Notamacropus eugenii: one gene and its partner. The protein of the gene in region 2 interacts with the protein of the main gene of each other region in a biochemical or structural test. Links are inferred from orthologs where the notes say so. Each region holds a gene or a part of one and is shown on either strand. Other genes may lie near its edges.

Evidence for each region.
Region 1: the proteins of MBL2 (region 2) and complement receptor type 1-like interact in a biophysical measurement, tested with the Homo sapiens proteins (2 studies listed by IntAct). The link is inferred for Notamacropus eugenii from reciprocal best matches to the Homo sapiens genes MBL2 and CR1.

What each region holds. Positions count from the first base shown.
Region 1 is NC_092873.1:431,677,968-431,685,379, forward strand, and holds the start of complement receptor type 1-like, read right to left. Parts: upstream 3,013-7,412; 5' UTR 2,948-3,012; coding exon 2,890-2,947; intron 1-2,889.
Region 2 is NC_092872.1:227,507,340-227,514,643, forward strand, and holds the start of MBL2 (mannose-binding protein C), read right to left. Parts: upstream 3,007-7,304; 5' UTR 2,901-3,006; intron 2,758-2,900; exon of another isoform or gene 2,531-2,757; intron 1,897-2,530; 5' UTR 1,888-1,896; coding exon 1,707-1,887; intron 1-1,706. UniProt on the Homo sapiens protein: Calcium-dependent lectin involved in innate immune defense. Binds mannose, fucose and N-acetylglucosamine on different microorganisms and activates the lectin complement pathway.

The sequences.
Region 1 (7,412 bases), on a different chromosome or scaffold from region 2:
ATACAAATATAATGTTATCTATCTATCTATCTATCTATCTATCTATCTATCTATCTATCTATCCTTCAAATATTTACTGCCCTGAAATAATTTCAAATTCACAGAACATTAAGTACTAGAAGGAACCATCTAATCCAGACTCTATTTTACAGAAGAAGAAATTGAGACTTTCCTTCTCCTCAACCCCACCCCCTCTTCCCAGCCCCTCATGTTTTTCCTCTGAGATTATGTCTTATTTACACTGTAAACATATTGTATGAACACAGATATTTGCACATTGTGTACTCTATTACATTGGGAGTTCCTGAGGAAAGGAACTATATTCTGGCCTTTCTTTGAATCCCCATTACTTAGCACAATGCTTGGCACATAGTAGGTGCTTAATAATTGTTTGCTGCCTGACTAAAGTAATTTTCCCAAGAGCATGTAGATGAAAGACTAGTAATTACAACACTTACACAACACTGTATATTTTCCAAATTACCTAATATCCCATTTGAGCTCCCAGAAGAACTCTGAGAGAGACACTACAGGTATTATTATCTCTATTACACAGAAGTTAACAGAGACTCAGAGGTTAAATGACTTCCCCTCAGTCACAAAGCGAATATGGGGCAGATTCTAACCCAAGCTTTTCTAACTCCAAGTTCAGAGCTCAATTCACTACAACACACTGCCTATAAATCCCATTGTGGAGCACTGACTCTAAGGGCCATAGAAAGGGAAGATTAGTTTCAGCTGCATAAACTGAATAAAGACTCATCATAGAGGAGGCAGGACTTGAGATAGAGGCATGAAGAAAGGAGGAGGAAGGCATGCTAGGTGTGTGTATAAGGGAAACCAACCAGATTGAGGCAGAGAACGTTTTGGAAACAGTGGGAAATAAAGGATGGCTCTGTGATTATGTGATGACTTAAAGTAATGATGATACCTGGAAGAAGTTTGCAAAACCCTTTACTAATATTATCTCATCTTATCCTCACAACAACCCTTGGAGGTAGATATTATTATTAGATGCATTTTATAGATGAGAAAACTGGTGTAGCTGAGGCTGGATTTAAGCTCAAGTTTTCTGACTCCAAGTTCCGTACTCTTATAATTGCTCCAGCAGCTGCCTACAAGATGATAGGACGTCATCCTGTAGATACAGGGATTTATAGGGAATTATTACAAATTCTAGAGCAAGGTAATATCATGAGTATTGGTGAATAGATGTTGCTGAATTGGTCAAAAAAGAGCCTTATTTTTTGTTTGTTTTAAAGGACGATCAACCTAACAATACTATTTGGCATAGACAGGAGAATGGAGAGAATGGGGACAAATTTATAGGCACATCTCAGCACTATCTCTTAATTCAGGCATGCTGGATTGGGGAAGATTTGCCTTAGGACTTGCAACTAGTAAGTGTTTCAACCTATCAGCAGAAAAATCTAACACCTAGTCCAATACTATTTTTCCTGGGGCTGTAAGAAAAAGAAAGGCCATGATTTAGGTTTTGGACATGCTGAATTTCACATTCCAGGTGAGATGCAATGTATACAGCCAGAAATTATTGTATATGAGTTCTGCAAAGACAAGGTTGCTAAAGTCCCAAGTATATTACTGAATGAACATTGTTATATATGTTCTGTCTGGGTAAATCCTCCAACAGAGTAAGTATATCAAGACAAGGCCAAGTTAAGAACGTTGGGGAATTACCCATAAATCAAGGGACTGGAGGAAGATGTGTTAGTAAAGGAGACAGAAATAGGAGGTGGAATATTCAGTGCCAAATGCTGGTTTCACTTCATATCAAGTACAGTATACCAATAGGTCTCAATAACTGGTTTGCTTAATTAATTCCTGTCATTTCTACAACCACAATCTCTCCTACTCATTTCCTCCAACATTCCTAAAGTTATACCACCCTCATCTAAGCCCTAATTACTACTCCTGAAATAATGTAATGAATGAATATCACAGGTCATCTAGATGGTCCAGCTGATAGAGTGCCCTGTCTGGAATCTTTCTGAGTTCAAATCTGATGACACTTTCTAGCTGTGTGATCCTGGGCAAGTCACTTAATTCTACCTCAGTTTCCTCATCTTGTAAAATGAGCCGGAGAAGGAAATGGCAAGTATCTTTGCCAAGAAAACCCCAAATGGGGACAATAATGAAGAACAACCCTTATCATAAACCAGGAAATTTTCACTTTTACAATGTACTTGATAAATTCTTGAATCGTTATGATTCATTCAATTCAGAATAACATCAGAAATATTTTAGCAAAAGCTGAATAGTATACAGGGTATACTATTAAAGAAGTACGATGCTCGAGAGAACTATATTTGACTTCTAATTCCAAATATTCGAGGTTTAAAACTCCATCCTTTACTCTCCACCCCAGTGGATGATCAGATCAAAATTCGGAGGCATCAGGGAATGAGGAGCGAGAAATTGCAGCTGGACAGAAACCTTCCTAGCCCAAGGATTCAGAGGCGCGTGGTGAAGGCACACACACACAGCGACGATGGAGGAGGGCTTCGCTACAAGATGCCAACCCCAGAATGCCAATTCCAAAGCTCCAAGCGCTCACAAGCCCCTCAGTTCAGTAAAGGGGCCCTGGGCTGGAAGAGACCCCTGAGGCCCAGACCCAACCACCCCCAAGGCCCTCCAGGGCAGCGATCCTCCCTCCACCTTTTCTCCGGGGGAGCTGCCTCCCTGCACCTGCCTGCCACCCCCGAGGCTCCGGTTCTGCCCTTGGGGGGCGGGGGCATGCAGAAGAGAAGTCTGCCGGAGGGAGTGGGGCAGGCGGAGGAGGACCACGTGGAGCAATCCCTCGGGGGGTGCTGACTAACGCCCCGAAATCGCCCCTCAGCCCCCGCGGTGGTTCGTAGCCTCCTTACTCACCGCAGACTCCCGGCGTGAGGCAAGCCAACAAGCCCCAGAGGAGCTGCGCGGCACCCATGCCGGTCGCCAGAGCCAGGTCTCGAGGTCTGACCGCGAGGAGCGGCCAGGTGCAAGGCGAGATGCTCGGATCCCCGGGACACTCGTTGCGCCGCGTCTCATTTAAATTGAGGCTGCACCTGGCGCGAGGCCAGACCACAGACTCCCCCTCTTTCTCATCCTCCTCCCCCGCAGGGGCGCGTGGCGGAGACGGCTGGGATTGGCTCTCTCCTGGAAGGGACCTGGCCAACCAGAAGCTGGCGCTGCTTGGCTTGGCTTGCTCCGCTAGCTGAAGTTTGAGCAGCAGCTCCTTTCTGTGCTTGATGTCTCCTCCGAGCCAGGCTTCTTCGGGAGCTTCTTTTGGGAAGATACCGCAGAGTCTGCAAAGTCTTGCTCTCGACGGAATCATTTCAGAGTGATCTGCCCTAACTTAGTGGCAGGGCTTGACCTCCCAAGACTGCAGACCACCCCTTTAGACTCTGCACAGTATTCTGTGTACCCATGGTATAAAATCAAGATAATTAGGGATAGGGACACTGGATTTCATTGATATGGGAGAAACTTCCCTCCCCCAATGCAGATTGGCACCTTCTCCTCCACTTAGAAAATTCAACCCTGAGAGAAGTTAAGTGATTTGACTTGGGTCACGCAACATGAAAAGAGCAGACTTGAACCAGGTCTCTCCCCTGGTTTGTGCCCCACGGGAGTCCGAACACTCCCAAATTCTTCCTGCACCAGATTAAAATGTAAAATAACATTTACAATATTACAAAATAAATAGAAATGACAATAAAACAGATAATGGTAATATATGGTTTTCTGTGGCAACGTACAGCCTACAGGGATTCTCACGTATGGCTTAGCGTTCCTGGTTTCCATTTGTGTTTGACACTACTGCATTACACCATATTTCCTCTCAATATAATTATGTAGTTATTCAACTAGCATTTATGAGCTCTTTGTATGTCATTGTTCTAAGTTCTATTTTAATGTATTTTTTTTAAAAATGCATGGGTTCCTTGGAGAATAAACTGAACTTGGACTCAGAGGTCCTGGGTGCAAATATACCACTTACTAATTGTGTGTCTTGGAGTGTTTAATTTGGAGTCAAAGGACCAGAATTTGATTCTTGGCTCTTACTTACATGACCTTGATCATGATGCTTGACTTTTCTGGGCCTCTGCTTCCTTATTTGTAAAATGAGGAGAGTGCTTCTAACCTCTGTGATCTTTTCCAGTTCTAGACGCATGATCCTGACATGTCGTAGCCCAGGTGTGTTTTAACCACTCTATGTCAGTTTCTTTATTTGTAAAATAAAGGGATTGGAGCAGATGATATCAAGGGTCCCTTCCAGCTAAAAATCTATGGTCCCTTAATCAGTGAATCTCCACTGAAGTCCTACACAGAAGTTCTTCATCATACTGTGAAGGTGAAGCTGGGTCCTTAAAGACTAGGGGGTTTGGGGGAAATGGGAAAGGGCAATGGACAAGTCGGAAAGGCTTTGAGAACAGTCACCAGAAAGACTGTGTCTTTCATATTCAGAGCAGGCTTATCCTTCAGAAGGTTAGTCACCAGGTGACAAGTTCCTTTGACCACAATAGCTCATGAAGACTGTCTACTGAGGCATAGTTAGGTTAAGATCTGAGTGGGTAGAGGAAGTGAAAGTACAGAATTCTGAAATGTTCAAGTAGGTATGTGTCGAGATTGCAGATATTCACAGGGAAGAAAGCATGTAACTGGAAATCAAGAAACAGATTCAAGTCCAGCCTTTGTTACTTCCTAGTTGTGTGACTTTCAGTTCATTGAATCAATCAACAAGTATTTTTTAACTGCTTGCTGAAGACACTGTGCTGGGTGCCGTTAGTACAATTGAAGAGTGAAGCAAACTCTGCCCTCAGAGTAGGAGATGCAGTGGGCTCCTTGCTAGACAAAGGGGGTATGCTCAAAAGGCTTCTCAGGGCATCTCCATGTTATAACTGGGCATGCCTAGAAATGCCCAGTTACAGTTATAAAACAAGGTGGCTACCAAATGTGTATTTAAATGATTGAGGTACTCTTAATTCTTATAGAAAAATTATATCAACAGAAAGTTTTTATTTTCATTAAAATATCTGGAGTATATAGATACAGGATCTGACATAATTTTAAGACTAGAATTTAATAGGAAGGAATAAAGTGGAATCTGAGGTAAATAAAAGATGGGATGTAAGTACACACATCATTAAGATCACAGATCCATGGAAGTATCGAAATATATTGGATTTATACAGACAGAATGCTTTATTTTGGAACAAGACTGATTCAGGAAAAATGAAATGCCATGAGAAAACAGACTTGGAAGCCATCTAAAATAGATTTAGCTTCCATCTTGGAAAACCAACAGAGGTTACCTAAATGGGTATTTATAGAATCCAGGAAATTAGCAAAGAGCCAGATATTTCAAAAGCTTAGATCTTAGTGAAGAATTGAGTCTATTGTTAACAGGGAAAGAAAGTGAATGGGGGGGGGAGGTGTACGGAATTTTCCATTAAAAACATTGGAATGAAATGTGACTTGAAATTTAAGGCTCTTTATGTCAGGAAAGACTTTACTTTGCCTGTAGGAGCAAGGGATTGGGACTAAGATTCTTCTCAAAAGGCAAAGGTCAAACATTAGGTTATTGAGGAAAAAGGAAAAAGTCTACTGCTACTGAATATGATGTTCTTCTCTGTCTTCATAATGGTCCAGGAAAAAAGAATCAAATTGTGCCAGCCTTTTTAAAAACATTAATACATTTAGGCTCTTCTTAGGTTTTATTACCAGAAACAAATATCATCATTTCCTTCTGATAGGAAGACAGGTAGATGGATAGATGGATGGATGGATGGACAGATGGACAGATGGATGGATGGATAGACACACAATTAAGTAGAGAAATAGATGAACACATACTTACACACATACATGGATGGATAGATAGAACATTTATTAAGCACCTAGCATGTGTAAGGAACTGTGCTAAGCACTGAGGGTACAAAAAGAAGCAAACAACATGGTCCCTACACTCAAGGAACTTACATTTTCCCATAGAAATTTTTATAACTACTAATTATTGTCCCAGGCCAGCTCATCATTTCATTTGCAGAAGAGGTTCCTAAATCAATTAGGCCTAGACAGATCCTAAGACTTCTGTTTGTTGCCTACAAAGCCTACTCAACCCATCTTTTCAGAACCTGTGATTCCATTGATGTAGGATGTGTAGACTCTCTCCATAAATGCAGATTGGGAGGCAACTCACCTGTAACTCAGCATCATAGAGTTGTCTAGGATACAGCAAATGACTCGCCTACGTGGGTCAGGGGTAAGATCTGAAATCAAATGTTCCAGACCCCAAGGCATGCCACTTATCAACTATGTTATGCTGCCTCACATTTTAATCACAACGCAAAATTACTGAAATAACATCGAATCCTACCTGGTAACTTCAGTGACTTGGTACCCAGCCACAGACCTTGACACAAGAGACAGCTATGGTAAAGGGAAAGAACACTTTGAGAAGATCTGAGTTTGACTTCTGCTTGGATAATCCTGGTCAAATCATTGAATATCAATGAATCTAAGATTGACCTCACTCCCAGGCCATCCCCATGCCATGCTATCTGCTCTCTAGACTCCACTTTCAGTCTGCAACTTCAGCTCCCACCCTTGTGGTTCTGAACTCTGATGGATGAACATTCATTCACCTGATCTTGCCCCGTCTCTGGCGATCACTTTCTGACCATCTCCATACCATACTGTCCCTTCTCTCACATGCTGCCTTCCTATTCTAGCTCTGAGAACATTATCAAATCAACACTACCATTCTTGGAAAGGACATAGCAATCATTTGCCATATGACTACAATTACCACTCCTTCAGAATTCCCCATCCCAACACTCTTCCCTGGCCATCATTCTCTTTTATTGATTGCCTTGCTAGATAAGAGGACAGGGACTGATTTACTTATGCATTTGTATTCTCAGAGCTGAATACAGTGCCTGGAACATAATCAGTACTAAATTAGTGCTTTTTCTTTCATTCATCCATAGAAAAAAAATAATAATCTTGTATCACCAATCTCAAAAGGTGCTTTACAGAAAGTTTCTATAAATCTTAAAATGCTATATAAATATAAGCAATTCTTGGGCTCAGTAATTTGAAATCAGACCATTTAAAGGCAAATGGAGAACAGAGGAATTAATTCAAGGACCTCAGGCTATCAGGAAATACTTTTGGAGAGGGCATACATTGAATGTCTAGCCTTTCCCAGCTCCAATTCATCCTGTATACCTCTCTAATACTATTAATATTCATAATTCACAGGTTTTATCATGTTACTCCTCTCCTCAAATCCTTCAACGGCTCTCCATTGTCTATAGAATAAAGTCCAACCTTAGACAAGTATTCAAGACCCTGGGCAATATAGTGCCAACATAGCTTTCCAATCTTGCACTATATCTTTCTGGGAA
Region 2 (7,304 bases):
TTTGATTTTTGTTAGCTGAATAGTGGATCTGGGACATACATCTTTCATTATTCTCTTGTGTTTTTAATTCTGTAGAATTTTTAAAGAAGGGCTATTCCTTCATGGAAACTTGTAAAAAGTGTAGCTGTCAAGGATCACACTTCAATAACTATTAAAAGTATTGATGACAGGGGTATGGGAAAGTCATGCATTTCAAGCATTTTTCAAATCCACAAGAAATAAGAGCAGTCTCAACAAAGCACAAATGGTAGTGAAGTCCAAATGAAAAATAATGCTAACAGCTGACAAAATGTTGCTGTAAAATAACTTGATTATTCCTCAGAAAATAAGTAAAAAGCTTTGTAGGAATCTCTTGACTAAAAGGATTGTTTTCAATCTTTCTATAGTATGGTGTAGACTTTTTTTAAAGTTGGAAGAACAGTGAAAATCAGTTGCTAACTCTTACTGTCAGTAAAAAATGCTTTTCATGAGCAAAACCATATAAAGACTAATGTACTAAAGATTAGAAAATGTTAATTTTTTACTAATGAACTTATTTTTTCATTCAAGGTCTTTTAATTCCAAATCATTTTCAGAAGTCCAGATAAGCTTGCAAGATCTGGCCATCTTCATCAGACTGTAAAACATTCACTTCCAAAAATACTTGAGGGATTATTTTACATTCAGTAAGCCTAGAAGTTTTGTCCCAACTGAAGAAAATAATAAACTCTGATAATTCTATTGACATACTAGCAAATAGAATTGCTTTGATATTACAGGAATTCCTCAATAGCAATGCAAACTTGTGTCATGCCACAGGTCATGAAAAGCTAAGAAATTTATTCAGAAACTGGAGAGAAATATGCTTCAGTTCCCAAGAACTTGTTTAATTTAAGACCTAGCAAGAATCTGTAGGCTATAATCGAGGCTAGATTTAAAAAAAATGATTATTTTACAATTTATATCTAATTCATAAGTATGTTTTCATGAATTAAGAATTCAAGATTATACAGATGAACTCAATGCTAAATTACATGTAACAAAGACTCACAAGAAATGGAGGACATCTTACACATTAAATATTTTTGAAAGACATAAAAGTCTTAAGACATCATATGCCAGGAAATGTAATTACCCAATTAATGAGTATACCACTGTAAGCAAAACCACTTATACAGATGGGTATGCAGTCCCTGAACTCATAGTCCTCTGCTTCTGTGCAAAATGGAGTGAAATGAGCAAAAAATATTTCACTGTGATCTATATGTGGACACCTTAGGAGGATATAAAACAAACAGGTGATCTCATGAAAGAGTTCCCAGACTTTCTTCCCAGTATTTAGTGTTTACTTTAAATCAAACTAAGCAAGCAGTATTCCATGGGTTTCCCCAAAGTGGGGTGGACTGAGAGATTCTCAAGAGACAGCTTTTGAAAATGGCCCCATATACTGCCTATTTTGATAAAGCGCCAACATAATCCTTCCTTTGACTTCTTGGAAACTGGGGTGTCAGATTACCAGAGCTAGATAAATAGAACTTCTCTGATCATCTCACTCTCTTGTTAGAGGAAAAGTTTTTGGACAGAGATTGAATCTAGAGAAACAATTCAACATCACTGATAAATATGACCTCATATGTTGAGTCTGAACTCTTAGAAGAGGCAACCATCACATGGGATCACCTGGTGGAAATGAAGACTCAGGGAGAAGGATCCCAATTAGCATGTACCTGGTTCTCCTTTTTCTCCCTTGAGCCCATCTCTTCCATCTTTTCCAGGAGCCCCATTTGCCCCAGGGGTACCACAAGAGACCACGGAGCAGCAGGTCTGCTCGGTCGTCTCACTCAAAATTGGCTCTGAGTAGACAGCCATGATGATGAGGAGGAGTGGGAACCAGGAAAAGTCAATCATTCTTCAAACCTTGGAAGGGTAGAAACTTGAGGTCAATTGATTTAGAAAGAAAAATGGCAGGGATTTTCAACCAGCCTCACTCTTATCCTTCTTGCTATTGTCTCCTCCTGGTGGTGCTGCCACCAGCTGTCTCTTTTCCCTCCAAAACAGCCAGTTTCACTGCTTTGGATCCTGTCAGTCTCTTGTTTTATTGTGTTTTATTGACTCCCCATTGTCTTCAAGATTAATCAATCCAAACTGATTTGGAAATCATTATACAAGGGAGTCCCCACCCTAATTATCCTGACTTCTTTCCCATTCTGTCTGAATGAGAACTCTCCATTAAAGACAGACACATCTCTTGCCTTTCCAACCCATATGATGTATACTCATTACCCTCACTGCCCAGATTAGTCTGACTGCTTTCTTCTACATGCCCTCTATTTCCTAGGATCCTCTATAGTGCCTAGCACAGGACTGGACATACAAAATTAATAATAAAATAAAATTTTAAAAATCTTGATATACAAAATCCTTCCCTCTCTCCTTCCCTTCCTCTGTCCCTCTCTTCCTCCCTTCCTCCCTCCCTTCCTTCCTTCCCTCCCTTCCTCCCTCCATCCCTCCCTTCCTTTCTTCCTTTCCATCTCTTCTCCCTTTTTCTTACTTTGTTCATTCCCACCTATGGTTCAAACCTGCAAAAAGTTTTGTAAATCTTGTTTGTCCTTGCCAGGAAGTCCACAGGGTGAGGGTGGGAAAGTTGCTAACCCTTCAGTAGGAGACCAAATAATTCTATGTCCCTTTTTATTTTGCCTGAACCAGATCTGGCCTATTTCTAAAGAATGCCATACTTCCAAAGGAACCAAGGGACCTAAAAGGAGATGAGGAATATCAAAATAGAAAGACCTTTAATCATAACTCTAGTTGATTGAAACATTGCCTGAAAATCTATTGGAAAGTCCCTTTCCTGGAATCAAGTTAAACATACAGATCTTTGACCCCAGTTCCACAGGCTGTATTTCTGATCAGAAACTTACCTGACATACAACAGGAAAGAGATAACAGAACAGAGTGTCCTCTAGTTTAACCCAGAGAAGACGGGAAGAGGCTGGATTCAACAAGATATAAAGAATCACTCTGTTTACATGGTAGAGGTCTGTCCTTGTTTTGCTTCCACAGATTAATAAGCAACTGAATCAAATATCCAGCTGTTATTCTCATTGCTCCCAATGGATAATGACAGATTGAGACAGAATCACAGAGACAGAATTTCAGAGCCTGCAACACATACCTAAAAATGAGTTCCCTCAACAACATACTTGAAAAGTGGTTAGTTAGCTTTTCATGAAGACCTTCAATGAAGGGAAGTCCTTTATTGCCCAAGACAGTCCATTGCATTTTTTAGTAACATACTATTAGTAAACTTTTCCTAACTCTTCTCTCTGGGATCAGTCTAAGCTTCCACATGACAGTCTTTTTTGTGTAACAAATAAATAACTATCCCATACCTGATTCCTATTTCCACCTTTGGGGAGACCCTAGATGAGATGAATCTGAGCCAAAACTAAAAACTTTAAATGCTAGAGTGGGGTACAAAATGAACCAAAGAGTATGAGAAATGGGATTCTAACTTCTCTCATTAGAGGCAGGGTTTTCCAAGGCTGATGCTGTTTGGACCATGTGCACAGGTCCATAGGGGTCCCTTAGTGCAAAAAAGAGAAAATGCTATGCCCAAACCTGGGGGCTCCAACCCTAGGTTGTTAATGTTAAATTGTGAATTTAACAAACCATAAAGGAACATGAACATTTCTATGTACAAAGAACAAAAAAGAGGATGGTGTAGGAAACTGTGAACTGTTACGTATGTTTTCAAAGTATATATTAAATTTAACACAATAACAACAAAACTTCCTGCTATTAAGCTATTATCCCTATTAACCTATGTATCTTTCTCTCTTCTATGTTTATTTTTAGGGCTTCATTGATGGACTTTTCTTTCTTTTCTTATATTTTTTATCACTGCCCCCACCGCCCCACTTCTCTATGTACTACCAAAGCCCTTTCTTGTAAACAGTAAGTATAGCCCATCAAAATAAAACAAGACAACTTTTTTTGAGAAATTTGCTCCAAAGATTCCACCCAGTGAGCTGTTTCCTTAATAATTCTAACTTGAATAATCAAAACTTTTTTTGGTGCAAGTTCTCAGTTTTAAGGAACAACAAATGTCTATTTTTAATCTTTTATGATCACCTCTAATCCTTGTTTAATTAAGAATTCTTCCTTCTATTCATGGTTTTGAAAGGTATATATTTCTTTCCTCTTTCTTCTCTGGTTTACAATATAACCTTTTATATTCATATTTTAAGTCATATAACCCTTTGGAGCTTATTGTTATACATAACGTGAACTGTGACTTTTAGGACAGGATCTTTTCTTGGATTTTGACTTCTAAACTTCTAGGTGTTTTGACTGCCTCTTTTCTTCTTATGAGGTAGCTATTTTCTACAGTATCTACACTGGTGAATATCAACCAGTTTTTATTTCCCTCTTTTCAGTTTACAGCCCTTTAGATTAGACTTAAAAGAAGTAACATGGTATAGTGGACAGAGAACTAGCCTCAAAGTCAAGCAGACCCAAAATCAAATCCGGCCTCTGATACATAACTGGCTATGCGACTCTGGACAAGTCACTTAACTAGAGCATGGACTCTAAGCAATTCTCCAAGACCCTAAATTACAAATAAGGTGCTGACCTGCACTGATAGAAGGAATTTCATCACCTGGGAGTTCCCTATACCAATGAGATCACAGGTGGAATACCTCTCTCCTTTGAATAGACTCTCAATACCCTAGCCAAATCGAGTGAGTTCTTGTTAGGTGTATGTCTGGCCTGAAGCCTCTCATTCCTATTTGTTAAGCTTTGGTCTAAAAACCCCATTCAAATTCTGGGATACGATCATCTTTCATTATACCACACACACATATATTTAGCTTTTATTTATTATTTTATTTTTCCCCAGTTGCATCAAATTTTTTTAACATTTGTTTTTAAAACTATGAGTTTAAAACTTTTGTTTTACAACTTTTAAAAAAACTTTGAGTTCCAAATTCTTTCCCTTCCTTTCCCACTCATAGAAAAGGCAAGCAATCGAATATAGGCAAAACATATCCATAATAGTCACGTTGTGAAAGAAAACATACACAAAAAACTCAAGAAAAATAAAGTTAAAAAGTATACTTCAATCTGTATTCAGACATTATCAGTTCTTTCTCTGGGGATGGATAGCATTTTTCATCATCAGTCCTTCAGAGTTGTCCTGGATTGCTGTATTCTGAGAATAGCTAAGTCATTCACAGCTGATTATCTTACAATATTGCTATTACTTTGTACACCATGCATTTTACTTTGCATCAACTCATGCAAGTCTTTCCAGATTTTTCAGAGAGCATCCTGGTTATCATTTCTTATAGTACAAAAGTATTCCATTGTAATCACCTACTACAACTTGTTCAGGCATTCCCCAACTGATGGGCTTTTTCTTGACTTTTAATTCTTTAGTCCCAGAAGAGAGGTGCCATGAATATTGTGTGCATATAGGTGATTTTCCCTGTTTTTAAAATCTTTTTTGATCTACAGACCTAGTAGTGGTATTGCTAGGTCAAAGGGTATGCATGGTTTTATAGCCCTTTGGGCATATTTCCAAATTGCTCTATGAAATATTTGAATCAGGTCACAACTCCACCAACAATACATTAATGTCCCTCCAACATTTGTCATTTACCTTTTCTGTCCTGATAGTCAATCTAATAGATATGAGGTAGTACCTCAGAATTGTTTTAATTTGTATTTCTCCAGTCAGTAGTGGCTTAAAGTATGTTTTCATATGACTATAGACACTTTGGGATCTTTCAAAGACTGAAGTCAAATGACTTTGGTTCAAAACTTACCTCTGCTATTTATTATTTGTGTGACCCTGGGTAAATCACTTAACATCACTGAGTCTCAATTTCTTCATTATTAAATAAAGGGGTTGAACTCTACATGGTCTCTCTTTAAAACCTACATACATGACCAAAGGAACTGTGTTCCCTATAGAGCTGAGGAAGGAAAGTGGTAGCCTGCTTTGGGGAATTCAGATACCATCATTCTTTCAGACTATGGTTATCTTTTTCTTTCTTCTTCCCCTCCTGGACCACTAGTTCAGGAAAAGCACCAGCCATTCTTTAATTCACTCCCAACTCTGTCTCCTCCATAGACTTGCCTGCTACCTTCCCTCCTTCTGTCCTTCCCTACAGTTTTCCTTTTCTTTCTCCCCTCCTCCCTCAAAGATGTGTAACTATTAAACATGATCATATCAACTGTTCTAGTGTTCTTGTGTTGGATGTGCCGATTTATTCCCCTGTGACCTCAGTCTATTCATCATCCTTAAAAATTTCTGGACCAAAGCATTCCTCTCTGTTCACTACTCTTTGTGTGTTGCCTCCTTCATTAGATTATAAGAACCTTAAAGGTCTTCACATTCCATTTTTGTATTTCCAGCACATTGCATTGTGCTTGGCACATAGTAAGTGCTAAATAAATGACTTTTTACTCATTGATTCATATATGTCCATATTTCATTGAGCAACCTTTCATAAGAAGTTTAACTTCTTCTCTATAGGAAGAACTTAAAACTGATTGTATTTCAATACCAGAAAGAAGTTGACCTTTAAAGATAAGACATTCTTTCCTCCCTTCCTCTTCTCCATCCTATACATTTTTATATCTATAACAGCATTCTATGGTTTCTTTAATTGAAAGGCTCTTAACTGAGCAACAAAATAAAAAAATAAGTCCTGTTTCTCTCATCTCTCCTTCAAGTCAAGTGCTCCCTCTGGTGGTCTCCCAAGAGGCTCTTGGATTTGTTGCATACAGGTGTATCGATGGTTCTCCTCTACAACAGTTTCATCCTGTGTTTTTTTTCCCCACCAGAACTGTGTAGGGAGATCCTGGTGAGGCATTCCCTCTATAACTGCAGATAGGTATTTTCCATGCAACTAATAGTATTAAAAATTTGAGATTTGAACTACTCAGTATCATACAGATAGTTTGTTGTATATTTTTAAAATTAAATTTTATCTTTTCAATTTACAAAAATACATTTTTCTCCATTCTACCTTCCTCCTCCTCATTAAAAGACAACTCCAACAGAATAAAATCCTTCTAGCAAATACAATAGTGAAAGAATTTCCTCCACTGATCATTCTAAAAAGATATATATGTGTGTATACACACATATGTGTATGTGTGTATACACATACATACATGCATAAACATATATAAATACATATACCCATACATACATTTATATACTTTGATCTCTGCCTTGAATTCATCACCTCTCCACAGCCAATATTTATTAGCAGTACAACTTGAAATCAGTTCTATTTGATGCTGAAGCC